Drosophila melanogaster: one gene and its partner. The protein of the gene in region 1 interacts with the protein of each later gene in a biochemical or structural test. Each region holds a gene or a part of one and is shown on either strand. Other genes may lie near its edges.

What was found. Proteins that work in one complex are often made in the same cells at the same time.
Region 2: the proteins of mbt (region 1) and Cdc42 form a complex in vitro, tested with the Drosophila melanogaster proteins (one study listed by BioGRID).

The regions. Positions count from the first base shown.
Region 1 is NC_004354.4:16,605,473-16,617,228, forward strand, and holds mbt (mushroom bodies tiny), read left to right. Parts: upstream 1-5,212; 5' UTR 5,213-5,719; coding exon 5,720-6,890; intron 6,891-6,961; coding exon 6,962-7,233; intron 7,234-7,304; exon of another isoform or gene 7,305-7,802; intron 7,803-8,065; coding exon 8,066-8,542; 3' UTR 8,543-9,384; downstream 9,385-11,756. Other genes in the region: Nup153 (nucleoporin 153kD), read left to right, coding at 1-314, 378-536, 1,390-1,527, 2,461-2,528, 3,533-3,626; CG9782 (uncharacterized protein), read right to left, coding at 10,038-10,186, 10,358-10,872. UniProt on the Drosophila melanogaster protein: Involved in neurogenesis of the adult central nervous system, and together with Cdc42, regulates photoreceptor cell morphogenesis. Phosphorylates exogenous substrates when activated by Cdc42.
Region 2 is NC_004354.4:19,691,014-19,698,690, reverse strand, and holds the start of Cdc42 (cell division cycle 42), read right to left. Parts: upstream 1,601-7,677; 5' UTR 1,539-1,600; exon of another isoform or gene 1,466-1,538; intron 757-1,465; 5' UTR 734-756; coding exon 446-733; intron 385-445; coding exon 97-384; 3' UTR 1-96. Other genes in the region: CG14229 (uncharacterized protein), read left to right, coding at 3,740-3,762, 3,827-4,124; Mer (merlin), read left to right, coding at 5,734-6,390, 6,450-6,659, 6,757-6,993, 7,056-7,677. UniProt on the Drosophila melanogaster protein: Regulates mbt kinase activity and is also required to recruit mbt to adherens junctions. Together with mbt and Frl, regulates photoreceptor cell morphogenesis. Together with Frl, has a role in the neuronal development of mushroom bodies.

The DNA of each region.
Region 1 (11,756 bases):
GATCAGCGGCGACCACTGCCGCAACTACGCCGGCGGGCGGCAATGCAGCCCTTACTGGGTTATTCGGCAATGTGGGCAACTCTCTAGCGGGAGTAGGAGCTCCTGTAGCCACAACACCAGCGGCAACAGCTGCTGCTCCATTGACCAACATCTTTGGCAATCCCACGCCAGTTGCTGCTGCCGCGCCTGTCTTCGGCAGCGGAAGCACCATCCCAAGCGCAGGATTTGGAGCGCCTGCTGCAGCTGCTCCGTTGGCGGCCCCAGCGTTACCAGGAGCATTTAACTTTGGCGGAGCAACTGCAGCCACGCCAGCTGTAAGTACATTTATACGAATTCAATTCTGCACGAATTCCAATCCGCTTTTTCGCATATTGCAGGCCTCAAGTGCTCCATTTGTATTCGGAAGCAGCACCAATGAGCCGCTGGCCAAACCGTCGTTCAACTTCACCGGCTCGGCGGCCAGCTCGACTGCTCCTGCGCCAGCCTTCAATTTCACGGCCAATACGGCGGCCACTAATAATCCCTCCGGTGGCGATGTAAGTATACGATTTCCACCCAACTCCCAGTAGATCACCAAACCACCAGTCCACCACCCCGCCCCACCTGATCAACTTATATAGTATTCGCAGTACAAGCACAAGGTGATCGATGGGAGATGAGCGCCTGATGTGATGATGAAGTAGATCGATCACACCACACACTCACTCACCCAGGTTTCATCCATACAAATGTGTTTGCGATTGTTTGTAGTCGTAGCTGTCCGTCATATTTCCTTTTAATTTTCCGACTTGCATGCCCACGTTATAGAAATTATAACAATGCGATCAAAAATCGATCGATCCCCCTAATATAAAACATACCTGGCCGACATTGTATATTAATTTAGAGCTAGTTACTTACCGTATTGATTTTACCTTCTAACTTTTATACATACATACAACGTCTCTCTATCTATATATATATATATATATTTATTTGTATTCTTCTCTCATTTTCTTTTTTATCTTTTTCCACAACCCTTTCTACACAAAAACGGTCGTGCGTGTTGTTACTGTTGAATAATATTGTCGTATACCATGTAACTTAATGTATACACTCCTTAACTACGCAACTTCCGTAAATCTGTAATGTACACTCTATGTACTGAAAAAAAAAAAACGAAAACTCTGTGGGCACGGGCACGAATCAACTTTACTACCATCCATCCTACTACTACCTATTATTATAATTACCAATCCTTCTGCAAAATGAACATGAAAATGAACTACCCGGTAAAATGAACATGAAAATGAACTACCCGGCAAAATGAACATGAAATTGAACTACCCGGTAAAATGAACATAAAAATGCACTGAATGGATCTGCAAATGAATTCGAATCGCAATACAGTCGCATCCGCGCATCTTCCAATTCGGTAGTTCGCAACCGGCGGCCAATAACCAGTTTGGTGGTGCGGGCGGTGCCACCAACAACTCCGCCGGCGGTATGCCCATGTTCAACTTTTCGCCCGGGGCGCCGCAGATGCAGGTAATGCGAGGTCATGCGCGATATCCAGAGAGTTTCGCCGACTCGATTTTAACGATATCCGATTGCTAATACCCAGTACTTTATGCCATTTCTTATGTACTCATAAATGCATATGTAGAACGGGGAATGCCAAAGAAATTCGCGCATAATCAATTGTATATAACTTAGTGTCATTTCTTATAATACAAATAGTACAAAGGCTTTTACAAATCTAACATGTATTAGTTTATTATATATTTAATATGTTTTAGAGTACATCTTAATTTTGATTCTAGATTTCATTTTTAAATCGTAGAGTATAGGATTCCCTAAAATGCAGCTAGTACATATTTTCTTTGGCACTCTCCGTGTATGAAAGTCACATTATAACCATTATTTATGCATATCTTGCTTGTCTCATCTTGCTCCATTAGCTGTAGTTGAATGCATGCACATATTTCTGTAGTTGTAAGTAGTTTTCCTAGAACGCATGTGTCGCAGGGCTTGTCAAATGATACATACCTAACAATTAGAATCGAAAGTAGATTTTTTTCAATGTGTTATATATGTATGTATGTTTCCTGTGTAGTTAAGCATGCGTTAACGGTATATTTTTGACAAGCTCTCACGTATGCACACCATCCCCCACCTCCCACACGCATGCACGTACACACACACACACACCACACACATACAAAGATGCACAGCAGTTGTCATTCTTCATATAGCAATTTCCATCAAAATTTTCAATTTGTACATAACCAAAAAAAAAAAAAGCACATAATACCCATCAACCATCCAAAACCCAATCTGTATGTAGAAGAAGAAGCAAATATTAACCATCAACCATCGTGATCCGTCCTATAAAACCAAAAGAAAAAAAACCAACGAAATTTACTTGCTATACAAAACCAACTTACCAAGGAAAACATACCAAAAATATTCTTCTTGCAGTCCACACCGAATGCCAATGCACTGTTCCAATTTAGCGCGACCTCCACAGCGCCAGCCAATATATTTGCGTAAGTAAGACAGAGACGGATGTTCCGATCCGTTGGTGAAGGGTTGTCACCCACAAATGCGAGCGAGACAGACGTAAGAGCGGCCCGAAGAGAGAGAGAGAGAGAGAGAGAGAAGTTTACGCGCTTTTTGTTGCTGTCGCCCTCTTTCCGTACTTTGAATTGATCCTTTTACCAACACAATCGAAGAACACAGAGACACACACACACAAACACACACAGCTGCATTATAATTGCATTTGTTTTATTTTTAAGCATTTCGTTTTGTTGTGCGTACCATTTGTTTTGTTTTTGTTGAGAAGAAAAGCTTACTACCTATCATATTTACACATGGGTAAAATAGGCATTAACAAGATTGTTCAGTTTTCCGAATTTTGAAAAGCAGGCTTAAATCAATTGGCCAAAAAAAAATGTGGTATGTTAGCTTAAAATGGGCTTTATACATTTACAATGTTTTAAAATCAAGTGATCTAATTAAAAAAGATTTTCAAAGAAAAATATATTCGTAATTTAAGTTTAGAGAGACAAAATTCTTACAATCATTACTTACTATATGTTTTCGCCCTCATTTACCATTTATGTTCATAAAAAACTGGTTTAAGCTGTGCTTAAAAAAATCAACTAATGAAAAATGAATAGTATTATAAATCAATCATTTTAATCATATTGTCATATATGGAAACTGGCCACAAGTGAAAACTAAATCGAAGTTAAAAACGCATCCATTTCCTCCACGGAATGGTTTATTTACCATTGTGTAAATAGGATATATGTAGCATTTTCTATATCCTGCGAATTTCATATTTTACTATAGTTTGTGTTTGTCTTATTTGTGTGTGCCATATTGTTTCGTTTTGTTCATAGCATTTCGTATCCATATATTATTTGTTCAATTAATGTTTTTTGTCCACATTACTCGCTGTAAGCAGCAGCAGCAACCGCCAGTGGGAGTCTCGAAATTGACCAACCAAATATGATAATGATACTAATCCATTGTTAATCCGCAGCTTCAATCCGCCAGCTGCGGGCAACTCGGCGCAGAGTTCCCAGACGGCTCGCCGCAAAATCCGCGCCCCCGTACGCCGTTTGCCGCCCCGGTAGAAATGGCATCGCAGTCGGCCATCACGATAGCAAATGAGGCCGCCGTCGGATTAGGATTAAGATATTGGCAGCCATTGCCGAGAGTAACAGAATCAGCAGTAGCAGCAAAAGCATCAAGGGCCGAAAAGGAAAAGCAAGACACAGAAGACGCCGGCAACAATAGTGGGCTCAAAGGTTCGGTCCAGAGCCAATATCACCAGGAGCCAGATATTCAAGGATCATCGAGGATAAACATGCAGTCACCAAAGTCGCCATGTGTGAACAAATACCGCTTCGTACGCCGCCACAGCCTGAACTCTGAAACCAGGAAACCCTTTAGCAGGAATATTTGGCAGAATACAACAGGAGAAGGCAATGAAACCAATGGCGACGATGTCCCTAAAACACCAACAACTGGCGACCAGGAGGACAACCAACAGGAGGAACGAGATTCAGCGGTATATACATCAACAGAACGAACTGTACTAGTAAGGACCCAATTCAAGATAGTGCGGCAAAGGAGCGTCATCTCGAAACCGAGACAGAAGCCTCCGACTTACTCTTAAAAAGCTAAGGAATAGGTTCGTTCCACATCCTTCTCTGCTCTCCGATGATTGGGAGATGACCACGCGAATGTCGCTCATACTACGCATATTGATGATTACAAATTATAAAAACACTTCGTTGGATTTACGCGAGAATTCATCGCACCAAAAAAAAAACGAAAATGAATATATTTTAACGTTATTTTTGTTGAATATATAATATACCTTAACGATAATTATGTAATAATTATTTTGCGAAATAGTAAAGAAACGTGTAATGCTGCAATCAAACAGAGATGCGAGGCCATGTAATAGCGCAAAAAATCAACTACTGTATAATGTAGTAATACGTATATTCGAGTTATTGGCCGATACGTCGAGCATATGATGATTGCAGTCAGATAAGAGCGATCGGCAAACGATTGCATTAAGTCTTTAGTTTTTGTTATTAATTTTAGCGTTTAGATTCACACACACACAATTCACACGAGGAAAATACCTGCAACGACGTTCTGTGCAGCAGCCAAGGTGGAAAGCCAACAAATTAAAGAAAAACAACTATCTAGCAACGTAAAGAAACCAACCAACCCTATAGCTAACAAGATAACAGATTAGATGAAAAGATTAGAGAGAATGGTGGCAAACTGGAAAACCGAAAGAGTTATAATTGTATGCATGTTTTTTATATACATAAATTCATAAAGAACATTTAATATTTTATTTTAAGTTTATATTGATCATTTTTAAGTCGAGAACAGAAATGGAAATCAGAAGTCTATGTTGAGAGAGAAACGGTATCATAATGTAAATAAGTAAATATATGCGGTATGATAATTTAAACATTGTGCTCTTTACTTGGGTTTTCAACTGGAATTGCAATGAAATTCTATAACGAATATTTGGTGTCTTAAAGTACATATCTTACTTTGAATGGTAATTGTTTTCAGCGCGAATACTTTACAAACATTTGAATTTCGAAAAGCCAGTTGACCACAGGCGAACTCACCATGCCACGGCAACGGTCACACTGCCGCCATTGCGATAGACATCGATAGCCGTTCCAGCACTAATACTCACGATAAACACCACCTCTATTTCTGGCATCGGCAATTATTTCCCTAGGTTTATTATTTTTTTGTTAAGCGAATTGCTTGTGCGCTCGTGCTGTCGCCATAATGTGTGCAATGTGTGCCAGCCAGAGGAGCAAGTGGTGAAGGTGTATCGCTTGTGCGCATCTCGATTTGTCCATCCATATCCAATTGAATCCCAGTTTCCCAGTCGCGTCCGCTGCTATGCGTGTGTGTGTGCGTGCGTGCCCGTGTCCCTGCATGTGTGTGTGTGAGTGAGATCGGGAAGAAGTTGTGTGCTGTTGTTGTTGTTGTTTCTGTCGGATTTGCCGTTGCCATCGTTTGTTGTTTGTGCATTTTCCATTGTCGGGCGACGCAACAAAAAGAAAAAAATTACACATTAAAAATAGAGAGCAAGAGCGAGAGGGAAGGAGTGGTGTGGAGTGGAAAAGGGCGGTAAAAGGGCAGAAATTTGGAGCACGGGAAATCCGAGTCGCTGAAGATGTTCTCGAAGAAGAAAAAGAAACCGCTGATCTCGATGCCCAGCAATTTTGAGCATCGTGTGCACACGGGCTTCGACAAGCGGGAGAACAAATATGTTGGCCTGCCCCTCCAATGGGCGTCCATTGTGGGCAACAATCAGATACTCAAGTCCTCCAACCGCCCGCTGCCACTGGTCGATCCCTCGGAGATTACGCCCACCGAGATTCTCGATCTGAAGACTATTGTGCGTCCGCATCACAACAACAACAAGGCGGACACCACCTCGCTCAACAGCAGCAGCACAATGATGATGGGCTCAATGGCGCCGATGAATCCCATGGCACCTGGCGCACACCCAATGATGAGCCATGGCCCCGGAATGATGATGCCACCCGAGACGGGCGGCATAGTCCTGCCGAAGACCTCTCACGTGGCCAGATCCAATTCGCTGCGGAGTTCCAGTCCGCCGCGAGTGCGACGGGTAGCCAATGTGCCGCCATCGGTGCCGGAGGAGGAGGGACCACCGGCAGCTGGAACACCGGGAGTAGGTGGAGCTAGTAGCGGTGGCTTTAAGCCACCCGGTGCCCATCCCTCCCTGCTCTATAACAGTCAGCATGCGCACGCGAATGGAGCAACAGGACCACTGGCCGTGCGCACGGATCAAACCAACCTGCAGCAGTATCGCAGCAATCTGGCCCCGCCATCCGGCGGCTCCATGCCCCAGCAACAGCAGACTTCGCCCGTGGGTTCGGTGGCCAGTGGCACGCGATCCAATCACTCGCACACGAACAATGGCAACAGCGGCGGCAGCTATCCTCCCATGTATCCCACAAGCCATCAGCAGCAGCAGCAGCAGCAACAGCAGGCCAAACAGGGTGGCGATCAGAACCAAAATCCTCTGCATCCGCATGCTCATCCGCATCCGCACCATCACCAACATTTGGCCAAGTCGGCGTCCAGGGCATCCAGTTCCAGCGGGGGAGCGAGCAGTGCTGCCCAGCAGGCGAGCGGCGCCAGTGGAGGAGCGGCGGGTCAGCCAAAGCAGGACCAACGACTCACCCACGAACAGTTCCGTGCCGCCCTTCAGATGGTGGTCTCCGCCGGTGATCCACGCGAGAACCTCGACCACTTTAACAAAATAGGCGAGGGCTCCACGGGCACCGTATGCATTGCCACGGACAAATCCACAGGCAAGAACATCCGCTTTAACTATTGTCAAAACCATTGAATTAATGGCATTTGGTTTTCTCATTACGTACAGGTCGCCAGGTGGCCGTGAAGAAGATGGATCTGCGCAAACAGCAGCGACGGGAGCTGCTATTCAACGAGGTCGTCATCATGCGGGACTACCATCATCCCAATATCGTGGAGACATACTCCAGCTTTCTGGTCAACGATGAGCTTTGGGTGGTGATGGAGTACCTCGAGGGCGGCGCCCTCACCGATATTGTCACCCATTCGCGCATGGACGAGGAGCAGATAGCCACCGTCTGCAAGCAATGCTTGAAGGCTTTGGCCTATTTGCACTCACAGGTGCGTGACCAGCATGACACTGCCCCTTTCCTGTCCCCGTTCCCATTACCATTCCCTTGGCCAAACTGGGCAGCAGAGAACGGAGTACTCGCCATCATGCGATTCTTTGTGCCTTTGTACCTTGCCATTTGCGGCGCTTTCTTCGCCCTCCGCTTTCGCGTGGCTTTGGTTTCAATTTCTAAATGTTGTCACCAACAAAAGTCGTCGGCCGCACAGTGGGCCATCGAGTGGCGTAGCACGCCCAAAGTGCCAGGTGAAATCGCACGTGCATGCCCTACCTCAAAGCGAAAAGTGTGCATAGAGCGATTTTCGAATGGATAGTTAATTGCATCTTATGATGAAGGAAGTTTAAAGTTATAGTTCATTACTCATTGATAGATAAGCCAATTTGCTATGATTTTGCCTGAGATACAACTTGAGATATTAAAACTATCAATATTAGAATAGCATATAATAATAATATTAAGTCAGTCAGTCAATTGGAACTTGTTTAAGCCCCAACATTTCACAATACTAAGCATTCCTAATGTTTTAGATGTAGTCTATTTAAATGAAATTAGAACTAGAACCCAACCTGTTTATGCTATCTTCCACGTTAGGGAAACCAGCGTGTTCCCAAGAGCAGGAAATTCTTTTTGGGCGTTGCAGGGTCGATCTGGTTTCTTTTGTGCATTTCTGTCCCACGTTGGCTCGTGTAATGCGATAAGTGTCTGTCTGCGGGAGAAAGGGCGTTGGTTGGGGGAAAACCGCAAACTGTGAACGCTTTTAACCAATTTCCCTTCTCTCTCTGTCTCTTTCGACGGTGCTGCCGATGGCGATAAACCATAAACAGGGCGTCATTCATCGCGACATCAAGTCGGACTCGATTCTGCTGGCCGCCGATGGTCGCGTGAAGCTATCGGACTTTGGATTCTGCGCCCAGGTGTCACAGGAGCTGCCGAAGCGCAAGAGTCTGGTTGGCACGCCGTATTGGATGTCGCCGGAGGTCATATCGCGCCTGCCGTACGGCCCGGAAGTGGATATCTGGTCGCTGGGCATCATGGTCATCGAGATGGTGGACGGCGAGCCGCCGTTCTTCAACGAACCGCCGCTGCAGGCGATGCGTCGCATCCGTGACATGCAGCCGCCGAACCTGAAGAACGCGCACAAGGTCTCGCCGCGCCTGCAGTCCTTCCTCGACCGGATGCTGGTGCGGGATCCGGCGCAGCGTGCCACCGCCGCCGAGCTGCTGGCCCATCCCTTCCTGCGCCAGGCAGGACCGCCGTCGCTGCTGGTTCCGCTGATGCGCAATGCGCGACACCATCCGTAGTTGGATGCCACTGGACAACCCAGACGATCCGGCTGCTCGATGAAAGCAATCATTCCCACAGACAACGGATCCCGGCCCGTGGGCATCCATCTATTAAATTCTAGTATTAACATTCAGTTTGGCAGCTGTACTTAAATCCCCGGAGAATCCTCGAAACGTTGTAAAGTCATTTAAGCTCCGCACATCCATATCCATATCCATGCCCACTAACGTTCCAGAAGAGAACGCAATGTGCCTTTCACAAGCCTCGAAATCGAAATTGAAATCGCATCCTGCAACCGATACGGATGGAGAAACGATATAGCATTTATCTGCCCGAGAACCACATTTTTATATATATATATATATATACATATATGAGTATTTCAGCATTTTGCTCTCTGTCTCTTGTCAATATTGATTTGTGTGCGTGTGTGTTTGATTTTTTTTAACCAGCCCATAAAACATTGTTCGAATATATACATATATACGCTAAGAGCTAATGTTAAAAATCTATATATATATATATATACACATATATTTTTTATAAAAACAAATCCTAATTCTAAGCAAAAGCGAAACAACGAAGGTGTGAATCGAAGGGAGACAGAAAACGAAAGAGAAAGAGATAGCGTTAGGCGGAAGAGCATATACAATTTCGACATAAATATTTTTTAAACATTTTACATTTTACATTGGTGTGAAAAGTTTGTACGCTCCAGACATACACATATGCATATATCTAAACACATTCCCGATTTCGAAAATATTTTAGAACTTTTAGCTTACATTCTTTGTTCTGTTTTTTTGATTTAACCCGTGTAATTATTAATTAATGAATAAACTTAAATGCGAAAATGTTCAATTTTGTGGTTTCATTCATAGTTAAAAACTACCAAAAATAACTAGAAATCCAAAAAAAAATTTCTGAATAGAAATATTGAATATTTTAATATTTTATTCGACATTTTGGAGTTTCATTTTAAAGATATTTCTGTTTTTTTTATTACAAACTAATTGAAAAATGCATGTTTCGATTTTGTTGTTTTTATTACTGGTTGATTGATTGTTTGATTGATTGATTGATTGTTTGATGGTTGTGAAGAATACATAATTGTGCCCGCTTAAATACTCGCACATATATTCGCAAAATATATATGCGTATTTATCGCGTACATGAAGGATGGGGTACTGGCTCTGGATAAGTGGGCGTGGTCGTTGTGGCGTTGGTGGGTGGGTGTGTGTGAGTTGAGTGAGTGTTGTGTGTGCGCGTGTGTTTTTGTTTACAACATAAGATTACAAATATATTACATACACGAAAAATCAATTGCGAACTAAAAACTAAAGGGCAGATCGGGCTGCCACATAGCTAGCCATATGATTCGATGGGTAGAGGGGGGGGGGGAGAGAGAGGGGAAATGTGGTGTTGGAGAGGGGGGGGAGGGTTTGTTGTTTGCTGGTCACTGGGAATGTGTGTAGAATAGGAGTTGGATCTGATTGACACTCAAATCAACGCTCAGTTGCGCTTCCGCAGGGCCAGACGACCGATGGGGCGCTTGGGCTTCGTCTCCTCCTTCTGCTGCTGCTCCGATTCCTCAGCGGCGGCATCCTCCACCGCCTCCACGGGCGTCGCCTTGGCGGGCTTCGACAGCTTGCGACGGCTCACTGGGGATAGTTAAAGCGTTAGTTAGTAATGGATTTAATAACTTGATATAGAGAGATGATTTTAAAGATTTCTATTCTAGTTTAATGTCAATTATTTCAAAATTAGTAAATTCAGAAGGCACTGCTAGTCCATTTAGAGCAAAATCCTGGCCTAATCCCTGACTAACTTACATGCTGAGTTGCCCTTGTAGCCCTTGGCGGGACTGGATGCTGGGGCGGGTGCTGGCGCGGATGCCTGCTCCTCCTGCTCGCCGGAGTTGGACTCGTCGCTCTTCTTGGCCGGCTTGCTGGGACTGGGCGGCTTCTCGGCACGGTGCTTCTTCGCGTTCGCCTGACGGCGCTTCAGCGAGTTGAGGAAGTCATCGTTGGAGCGGAACGGCCGGATAACCGGGCCGACCTTTTTGGGCGCCTCCGTGGTGGTGGTGGTGGTAGAGCTGGCAAAGGACGCCTCGTCGCCCTCCTCGCCATGATCGCCGTGCTCGCCGGTTTCCTCGTCATACTCCTCGCCCTCGCCGCCGGCATCCGCTTGTGCTGGCGCCGCTGTCGTCGTGGTTGTCACCTTGGCCGCCTTCCCGACCGGACGGCGCAGGGCGGCGATTCTCTTCGCCGGCGAAACGGCGGGACCACCCTCCTCCTGAGCGGAGACCACTCCGTAGCACAGGACGCAGACGATGAAGAGCAGGCAGCTAAGTGGATTAAAAAAAATATAATAAATTATTAATAATTATATAATTATACTGCAATGAAACAAAATTATTTAATAATTCATGCCAATCGTATATAGCTCCTATTTTAAATACTTATGCTTTTACTCATTTAAATACTTTGAAAACTGCCAAAAATAGCTCATTAAAAACCATTGCCAAAAGTGGAACACCATTTAATTACTGAAATAATTTTCAAATGGTTAAAAAGACAAAAAACACACTTCCTTATACTTAAATTAAATTATACTTTAAATAAGTATTCTGAAGGTTTCTTGAAAAATTCGATCTTGCTATCATTAGTCAGTAACATTAGAATTTAAATGCAAGTGCCTATTTGTTGCCATGATTAGATGCTTAAATATTCAAATTTTACATAAATCAATACTGAATTGTTGCCATTAAAATCCCATTGGTTGTTTATACGAACAATGTTTCGTTAATTACGAGTATTATTTACTGGAATAACTTGAATTTCGAAGTCGCTGGTGCAATGTACCGCTCGACTTTCGAATCGATACGAAACGGATCTATTCGAATCGATTCAGTGATGGAATGGCATCTGGTGAATCCCCCGGGCAAGGTTGGCCAACATCTACACGCATCTAATCCTCGTGACTTCCAGCTCGAACCCAACTCTTGGGCGATCGGACGGACGGGACAGGTCTGGTTGGACGGGTTATTCAATACAGAACCTGAAGTCGTAAATATTGTGTACATAAAATACATATGTGCCCGCCCCTACATATACAGTGGAAACTCTTTGAATGATACGACAAGAAATATGGTAATTAACTGAATAAGAAGCATGAAATTATAATAAATTTAGCAAAGTGAAGATCTAAAACAGCGATATTCAATCAACA
Region 2 (7,677 bases), 3.1 Mb from region 1:
ATATTGAATGCTTCTCGACGACGGGAGGCTGGGAAGGAGTCATTGCGATAGTAGAAAGCCAGAATGAAAGGGATACCGCGTGTGAGGAAAGCAGAATTATAAGAATTTGCACTTCCTTTTCTTTGTGGGCTCTGGTGGCTCGAGGGCGGCCAGGATGGCCTCGTCGAATACATTTTTCAGGCCCTTCTGTGTCAAGGCCGAGCACTCCACGTACTTGACGGCCTTCAGCTCCTTGGCCAGCTTCTCGCCCTGCTCCATGGTGATGGGCTTCTGCTTGTTCTTGGCCAGCTTCTCCAGCGTGCTGTTCTCGTCGCGCAAATCAATCTGTGTGCCCACCAGCAGGAACGGCGTCTTTTGGCAATGGTGTGTAATCTCGGGCACCCACTGCAAATGCAAAATGACTCACTTACAGTCTCGCCATGGCGTAGAATAGTCTTGTACGTACCTTCTCCTTGACGTTCTCGAAGGAACTGGGACTGACCACCGAAAAGCAGACAAGGAAGACATCCGTCTGCGGATAGGAGAGCGGACGCAGCCGATCGTAGTCCTCCTGTCCGGCCGTATCGAACAGGCCCAGTGTGTAGGGCTCACCGCCGATCATCACAGTGACCGCATAGTTGTCGAACACCGTGGGCACGTACTCCGACGGGAACTTGTTGGTTGTATACGAGATGAGCAGGCATGTCTTACCCACGGCTCCGTCGCCGACGACCACGCACTTGATGGTTTGCATGTTGTGCAGAGGGGTGATGACTCCTGCGGATTAGTGGGGGTTAGTTTGCCGGATTACACTGGGGGGATGACTAGTGGGTGCGGCTTCCCTGCTCCTGCTCGTACTCCTGCCAGAGTGACCGTTCGCCAGCGGCGCCTTATCAACGAGGAGGAGCGGAGCCCAGGAGAGCGGGGCGGCAGTGTGTGTGCAATGTACATATGTACATATCTGGGCAGAATGAGCGATGACTCAAGCCGAAGAAAGAACGGAAAGAATGGAAAGCAACGGCGCACACAGATAAGCCGGACGGGCATCAGAAAATTCTGATTGGACACACATACACGCAAACACTTGCGCGCAGGGGCGCAGCGAGTACGGCAGCTTGCGGTTGTGTGTGTGCGGTGCGTGTTCACTTGGTCTAATGCAGTTTTTGCTGCACTATTACTGGCTTTATGATGGTTTATTTGGTCACGGGACTGGCCGCCCAGTCAGCTGCTGGAGCTGCCCCCTGTTTTTAGCTATAGTCGGATTTTAGACGAGATTTGCAGACAAAAAACTAAAGAAATTTGGAAGCAATTATTTATCACACACGCACACTGCGGCACGGACCACACGCACATATGACACACACACACAGGCAGGCAGGCCCGTCATCGACATTTGGTTTTCATTCACTTTTCACTGGGCAAATTGAAACGCGTTGCGATCTATACGGCGGATGCTCGTTGCGGGCACCTTTTCCGCCTTACTTACAGTTATTTAAAATTTGCAACCGCTGTCGAATCCGTTTAGTTTTCCGCTTTTCTGGGCTGGGCTCGATACGTACGGAAAACTACTATTTCCTTTTGTGTTAGCGTTCTCTCTCTCCAGCGAGCTCTTTGCGTGCGAGTGACTAGCGCGGCGTTGCCATCCCGTCGCAGTACTCCCACCCGGCTTGCATCGCAATCGGTATGTTGGTATTTTCGGTGGAAGTTCTCTGTCACTGTAAGGGCTATATATCCGACCGATCGGGCAGAGCGGGACCAATATACTGCATACAGTTGCGGTAACAATAATAAGCGGATTTCGTGTTTGTCCCAGTGTTTCTGTATTTTCTGACACTTTTTCATCATTTTACTCACTAAACTTAAATACTACAATGATTTTCAATCGAAATAAAAAAATTAGTAACAGATCTAATGGATAAAATAATTGGTAAAACAAAAAAAAACCTTCAAATTTAGGCGGTAACAAAAATAGCACTGTTTCTTGTAGTTTGCCAAAACTAAATAAAAAAATTTTTTAAAAAATTTTTAAAAAAATTTAAACAAACGGATTATATCTTAAAAACTATGTTTAAAGAATCTTAATATTTGGTTGCGTGACCTATGCTGGTAATGACAGCTGGACATCGTCTTGGCATGGACTCCACCAAGTCCTGGCACTGTTTTTGAGGAATTTTGCTTCCTGAATCCTTGACCACACCCCAAAATTCCTCGTTATTATTGGGTCTGGCTTCAGAAACCCTTTTTTCACGTCCGCCCAAAGGTTTTCGATTGGATTCAAGTCGGGTGACTGAGCAGGCCATTTCATTACTCGGATCTACTTCTGCTCAAACCACTTTGAGCTTTCTTGCTCGTGTGTTTTGGGTCGTTATCCTGTTGAAATGTCCAAACCAACGGCATTTCATCCTCGGCATATGACAGTAAATGTGCTGATCCATGATGCTTTGAATCCAATGGATTGGAACTACTCCATACCATGAAAAGCACGCCCATACCATGATGCTTGATCCCCCGTTTTTTACCGACTTAAAGGTGAAGCGAGGATTATATTTAGTGGTGGACGTCGTGGTGGACGCCGAACATAAGACCGAGAGCCTTTCCCACCAAACAACACAATTTTGATCTCATCTGACCACAAAATGTTGCACCACTTCTCCATAGGCCAGTCCTTGTGTATCTTGGCATATTCGATTCGCTTTGCCACATGCTTCACAGTCAAAAGCGGTACTTTTTTGGGGCTGCACGCATTAAGGTTGTTTTGTCTTAAGCGTTTGCGAACTGTTTCCACGCTTGCAGCTATCTGAAGCTCCTTCTTCAGTTCCGTCGCCGGCTTAAAAGACTCCTTCTTGCTTTGCCAAACCAAGCGCTTGATCTCCACGTTGGACATTGAGGGCTCTCTTCGCCGTGTTTCCTTCTTTTCGACAAACAGCAGTGCTTTGCGGATCATTTTGTTTGAACAACCGACAATGCGACCAATTTCAGCGTAGGTTTTACGTTCAGAAATCATGTTTTTAATCAAATTTCTTTTTTCGACGGTACAATGCTTTCCGCGACCCATGACTAGAGAATTTTTTGTCTTCGTTTGGAAAAAATTCAATTAAAACCTTTATTGCAACTCCTTTTTTCAAAATTTGTCGAAAAAAAAACCCAAAGCAATCACTCCTATTAATTGTATTCAGCAAATACGTGATCGGTGCTATTTTTGTTACCACAGCAAGTGCCCAAAAACAAAAAGAACCGTTACATTGAGAGAGTAAAAATTTCTTGCTCAGAGAGACAACATATGGTTCTTATTATTCATGCAATCTGACTTAAAAAAATAAAACATTTAATTATTTTTTTTGGTAAATCAACTTTCCACCTGCAGTAGTGTTATTATTTTAACCGCAGCTGTATTCATCGTGTCATCGTGAAGTAATTGTTGGGTATAAAATATTCTCACTTGGCGCTATTTGTCACTGAGACAACTTTTAGATTCACTTTATCCCTCCCTCCCAAAAATATTCTATTTGTTTGGATACAATATAATCTCGGTTTTCTTAACAATATCTGCTGTTTGGGTTGGCTATTTGTGATTTCCATTTAAGAAAAAACAAACCTCGATTAGCGGTATATTTAGCACAACCCATTGGTATATCCCACAGCCAATTTCGAACTTCGAGGCAGTCACACTGGTGGATGTCGCTGCTGTGAAACGGGGCAGGACAAAACAATTGACCAATAGGAACCGAAACCAACACACTGCACTGGCCCCGGGATCGGAATGGCTGGATTCCTGAAGACAAGGTAATCACCTTGACCAAGGTAGTGAGGTCCCAGCGCTAATCAAACGCACACCATTCCTCCACAGAAAGCGCAGCCGGGAGGATGAACTGGCCTGCGAGTCGCCCCTTTCGAAGCGCATCAACAACCTGAATCTGAACTACGAGGATGGGAACAGCAGCAGCAGCAGCAGCTGCAGCATTCCGCCACTGTCGGGAGGAGGAGCGACTGGTGGATCCGGCGGGTCCGATGCAGCCGGAAACGGTGTGGCGGCCGGATACGAATACAACCCAGAACTGGGAGCCGAACAAAACCCATTTTACTACGAGAAGAACAAGATGCTGTACGACCTGCATGTCGAGCGCATCAAGCGGAGCAGCCAGTAGCTAGTGATCATGGATTCCGGTGTGCGAGTCCAAGTCCTGGCACAGCCATTTAAGTGCCAACACGAGTTATCTGCAGCAACACTCTCTCTAGGTTCAAAGTAATTCGCCTCCGTTCAGTCTTCTCTGCGCACGGATTCGGATATCCGTGTCTGGAGTCACTTGCGTTTGTGTGATAAGCATTGTTTACTTGCATGGCATTAGCATCACCCCTGATGCATACACATAATAATAGTAGTATAAATTGAGCTAAGAGTCCCCCAAACACGCACATGAATATATATAAACTATGTTCATCGGTTACCATCCCTTCAATATGTATTTATAATCCTGCATGTATAATTTATTCTAAGAATAATGTAAGAAAACCTCCATATCTTTATATTTTCCTATTTCGATGAAATACGATATCCAGGGGGGTACAAGTTCATTGCTGAGTCGGTGGAGATGGAAAATAAGCTACAGGGACCTGATAAAACGAAAGCTGGACTTATTCATTGTTTATATACGCATCTGCTGACATGGTCATTTTGCTTATTCCGAGAATTTAAGCATGGACCTGCAATACAAGAATACGTCCAATAAACATTTACATAGTAATACATCTCATCCTTAGACAAATCTTTAAAACAAATATTGCGCTCAAGGACTTCATTTTCCCAATTCGTGACCATTGACAGGGTGGCAACTCTATATAGCACTGTGTTATTTTAGTTAATTCATCTTTCATCAAATAGCTGATCAAATCTATTTCGCAGCATTCAAAAATTCGTATAACTAAAAATGAGTGTACAATTTGAAAAAACATATTGCGGTATATTTTGGTATTTGGACTACCACTGTTTTGCCAGTTTTTGAAAACTTTTGGAAAATGGAAAGTTAATATATTTTTAAGGTATTTAATATGTTTTCATGTGCATATATTGACATTTCAATGCTTTATGTCGTTTGAGATGGATTAATTTAAGCATTATGATTCCTCCATAAAATTGAAATGGAATCACCCTACTAAATATACAAGGCGTCTGCCAAAGCTGATTTTTCTGCATCTAACGGCTGGTCACACTGTCTATGTTTATGTCGCGCATATCGGGAATTTGTCGTACAATTGCGATTCGCGGTGCAAACAATCGAGTAAGTTGCCTATTCTCGTACTTGGTCGATGTGGAGACCCTTCTGCCGACCCTCAATCAGCTTCCACGCCAAAGGAGCTGGGTGAGCGGTTGAATAGTGGGCGCCAGGATGCCGTGGCCACGCAGTTCTTAAATCGCAGCGCCGCATAAACGAAGAGCCTTACTCTTTCTTTCTTTCCGCTCACAGCCATCAGCCCAAATTGCCATTGCCATTGCCCGGAGCACCGAATTGGCTGCAAAATGAGGCAGTCCGCGATAGGCGAGGACCGCAGGAGCAGCAACAAGGAATCGTGCCACTAGATGGCACAGGAGCACCAGAAGGACCAAGAATCAGATTAGCAGGAGCAACAAGTCCTTTGCACGCAACAGGTTATCACGAATTGCCCACAAGAGCACTCAGTTCCCACTCCAATCCAATTGCATCTAACGCATCACATCACATTGCGTCGAATCTAATCAAAACACATCACATAATCGCGATGAGCCCCTTCGGCTCCAAGAAAAACCGATCCCTGTCGGTGCGGGTGAGCACCTTCGACTCGGAGCTGGAGTTCAAGCTGGAGCCGCGCGCCTCCGGCCAGGATCTGTTCGACCTGGTGTGCCGCACCATCGGGCTGCGCGAGTCTTGGTACTTTGGGCTGCAGTACGTCGACACCCGCAGCAACGTGTCCTGGCTGAAAATGGAGAAGCGGGTGCGCGACCAGCGCGTTGAGCTGCACGCTAGCAATAATGTGTATGTGTTTAGCTTCTACGCCAAGTTCTTTCCGGAGAACGTCAGCGAGGAGCTGATCCAGGAGATCACGCAGCACCTGTTCTTCCTGCAGGTCAAGCAGAGCATCCTCTCCATGGACATCTACTGCCGCCCGGAGGCGTCCGTGCTGCTGGCCTCCTACGCGGTGCACGTGCAATACGGTCCGTACGACTACGAGACCTACAAGGACGGTATGCTGGCCGGGGGTGAGCTTCTGCCCAAGGGAGTGACCGATCAGTACCAGATGACGCCCGAAATGTGGGAGGAACGGATCAAGACATGGTACATGGACCATGAGCCCATGACGCGCGACGAGGTGGAGATGGAGTACCTGAAGATTGCTCAGGACCTGGACATGTACGGAGTAAACTACTTTCCTATTACGGTGAGAGCCTTGATTTTCACGTGGCGCATCTGAATCTTATCGTTTGTGTTCCCCACCAGAATAAGAACAAAACCAAATTGTGGCTGGGCGTCACCTCCGTGGGCCTAAACATCTACGATGAGCGCGATAAGCTAACGCCAAAGACAACGTTCCAGTGGAACGAGATACGGCACGTCAGCTTCGACGACAAGAAGTTCACCATTCGCCTGGTGGATGCCAAGGTTTCGAATTTCATCTTTTACTCGCAGGACCTCCACATCAACAAAATGGTAAGGAGGGCAGTTGTGACAACTGAAATATGTATATGTATTTTCACTATGTTCATGTTCCCATATTCATACTACACTTGCATCGTGTGCTTTGCAGATTCTTGACCTGTGCAAGGGCAATCACGATCTATATATGCGCCGCCGCAAACCCGACACCATGGAAATCCAGCAGATGAAGGCCCAAGCCAAGGAGGAGAAGCAACGCCGCCAGATCGAACGCAAAAAGTTCATCAGGGAAAAGAAGCTGCGCGAAAAGGCGGAGCACGAGCGCTACGAGCTGGAGAAGAGCATGGAGCACCTGCAAAACGAAATGCGCATGGCCAACGATGCACTTGTAAGACTCACTCCGCCCAGTGGCTTCTGATCTATAATATTGAGTTTCTCCCTGTATCCCAGCGGCGTTCCGAAGAGACCAAGGAGCTGTACTTCGAAAAGAGTCGTGTCAACGAGGAGCAGATGCAGCTGACCGAGTGCAAGGCAAACCACTTCAAGACGGAAATGGACCGGCTGCGCGAGCGACAAATGAAAATCGAGCGGGAGAAGCACGACCTGGAGAAGAAGATTCGCGACGCCGACTTCTATGTCCACCAGCTGACGGTGGAGAACGACAAGCGGGAGGCCGAGACTGAGAAGCTGCGCAAGGAGCTGATCTGCGCCAAAATGGCGGAGCGCGAGGCCACCGCTCGCCTGCTCGAATTCCTCAACAGCGGCCGCAAGTCCTCCACGGATAGCCTGCTGACCGCCTCCAGTGTGTCGCACGCGGCGAATACGGCGTCCAGCATGGCGGCCATCAGCACACCCTCCCTGATCACAAGCAGCTCAACCAATGATTTGGAGACCGCCGGCGGCGCCGAGCTGACCACCCACTCGTCACACTACCTGGTCCAAGGTGACAACTCCAGCGGCATTTCGGACGACTTCGAGCCCAAGGAGTTCATACTCACCGACAACGAGATGGAGCAGATCACCAATGAGATGGAGCGCAACCACCTCGACTACCTGCGCAACTCCAAGCAGG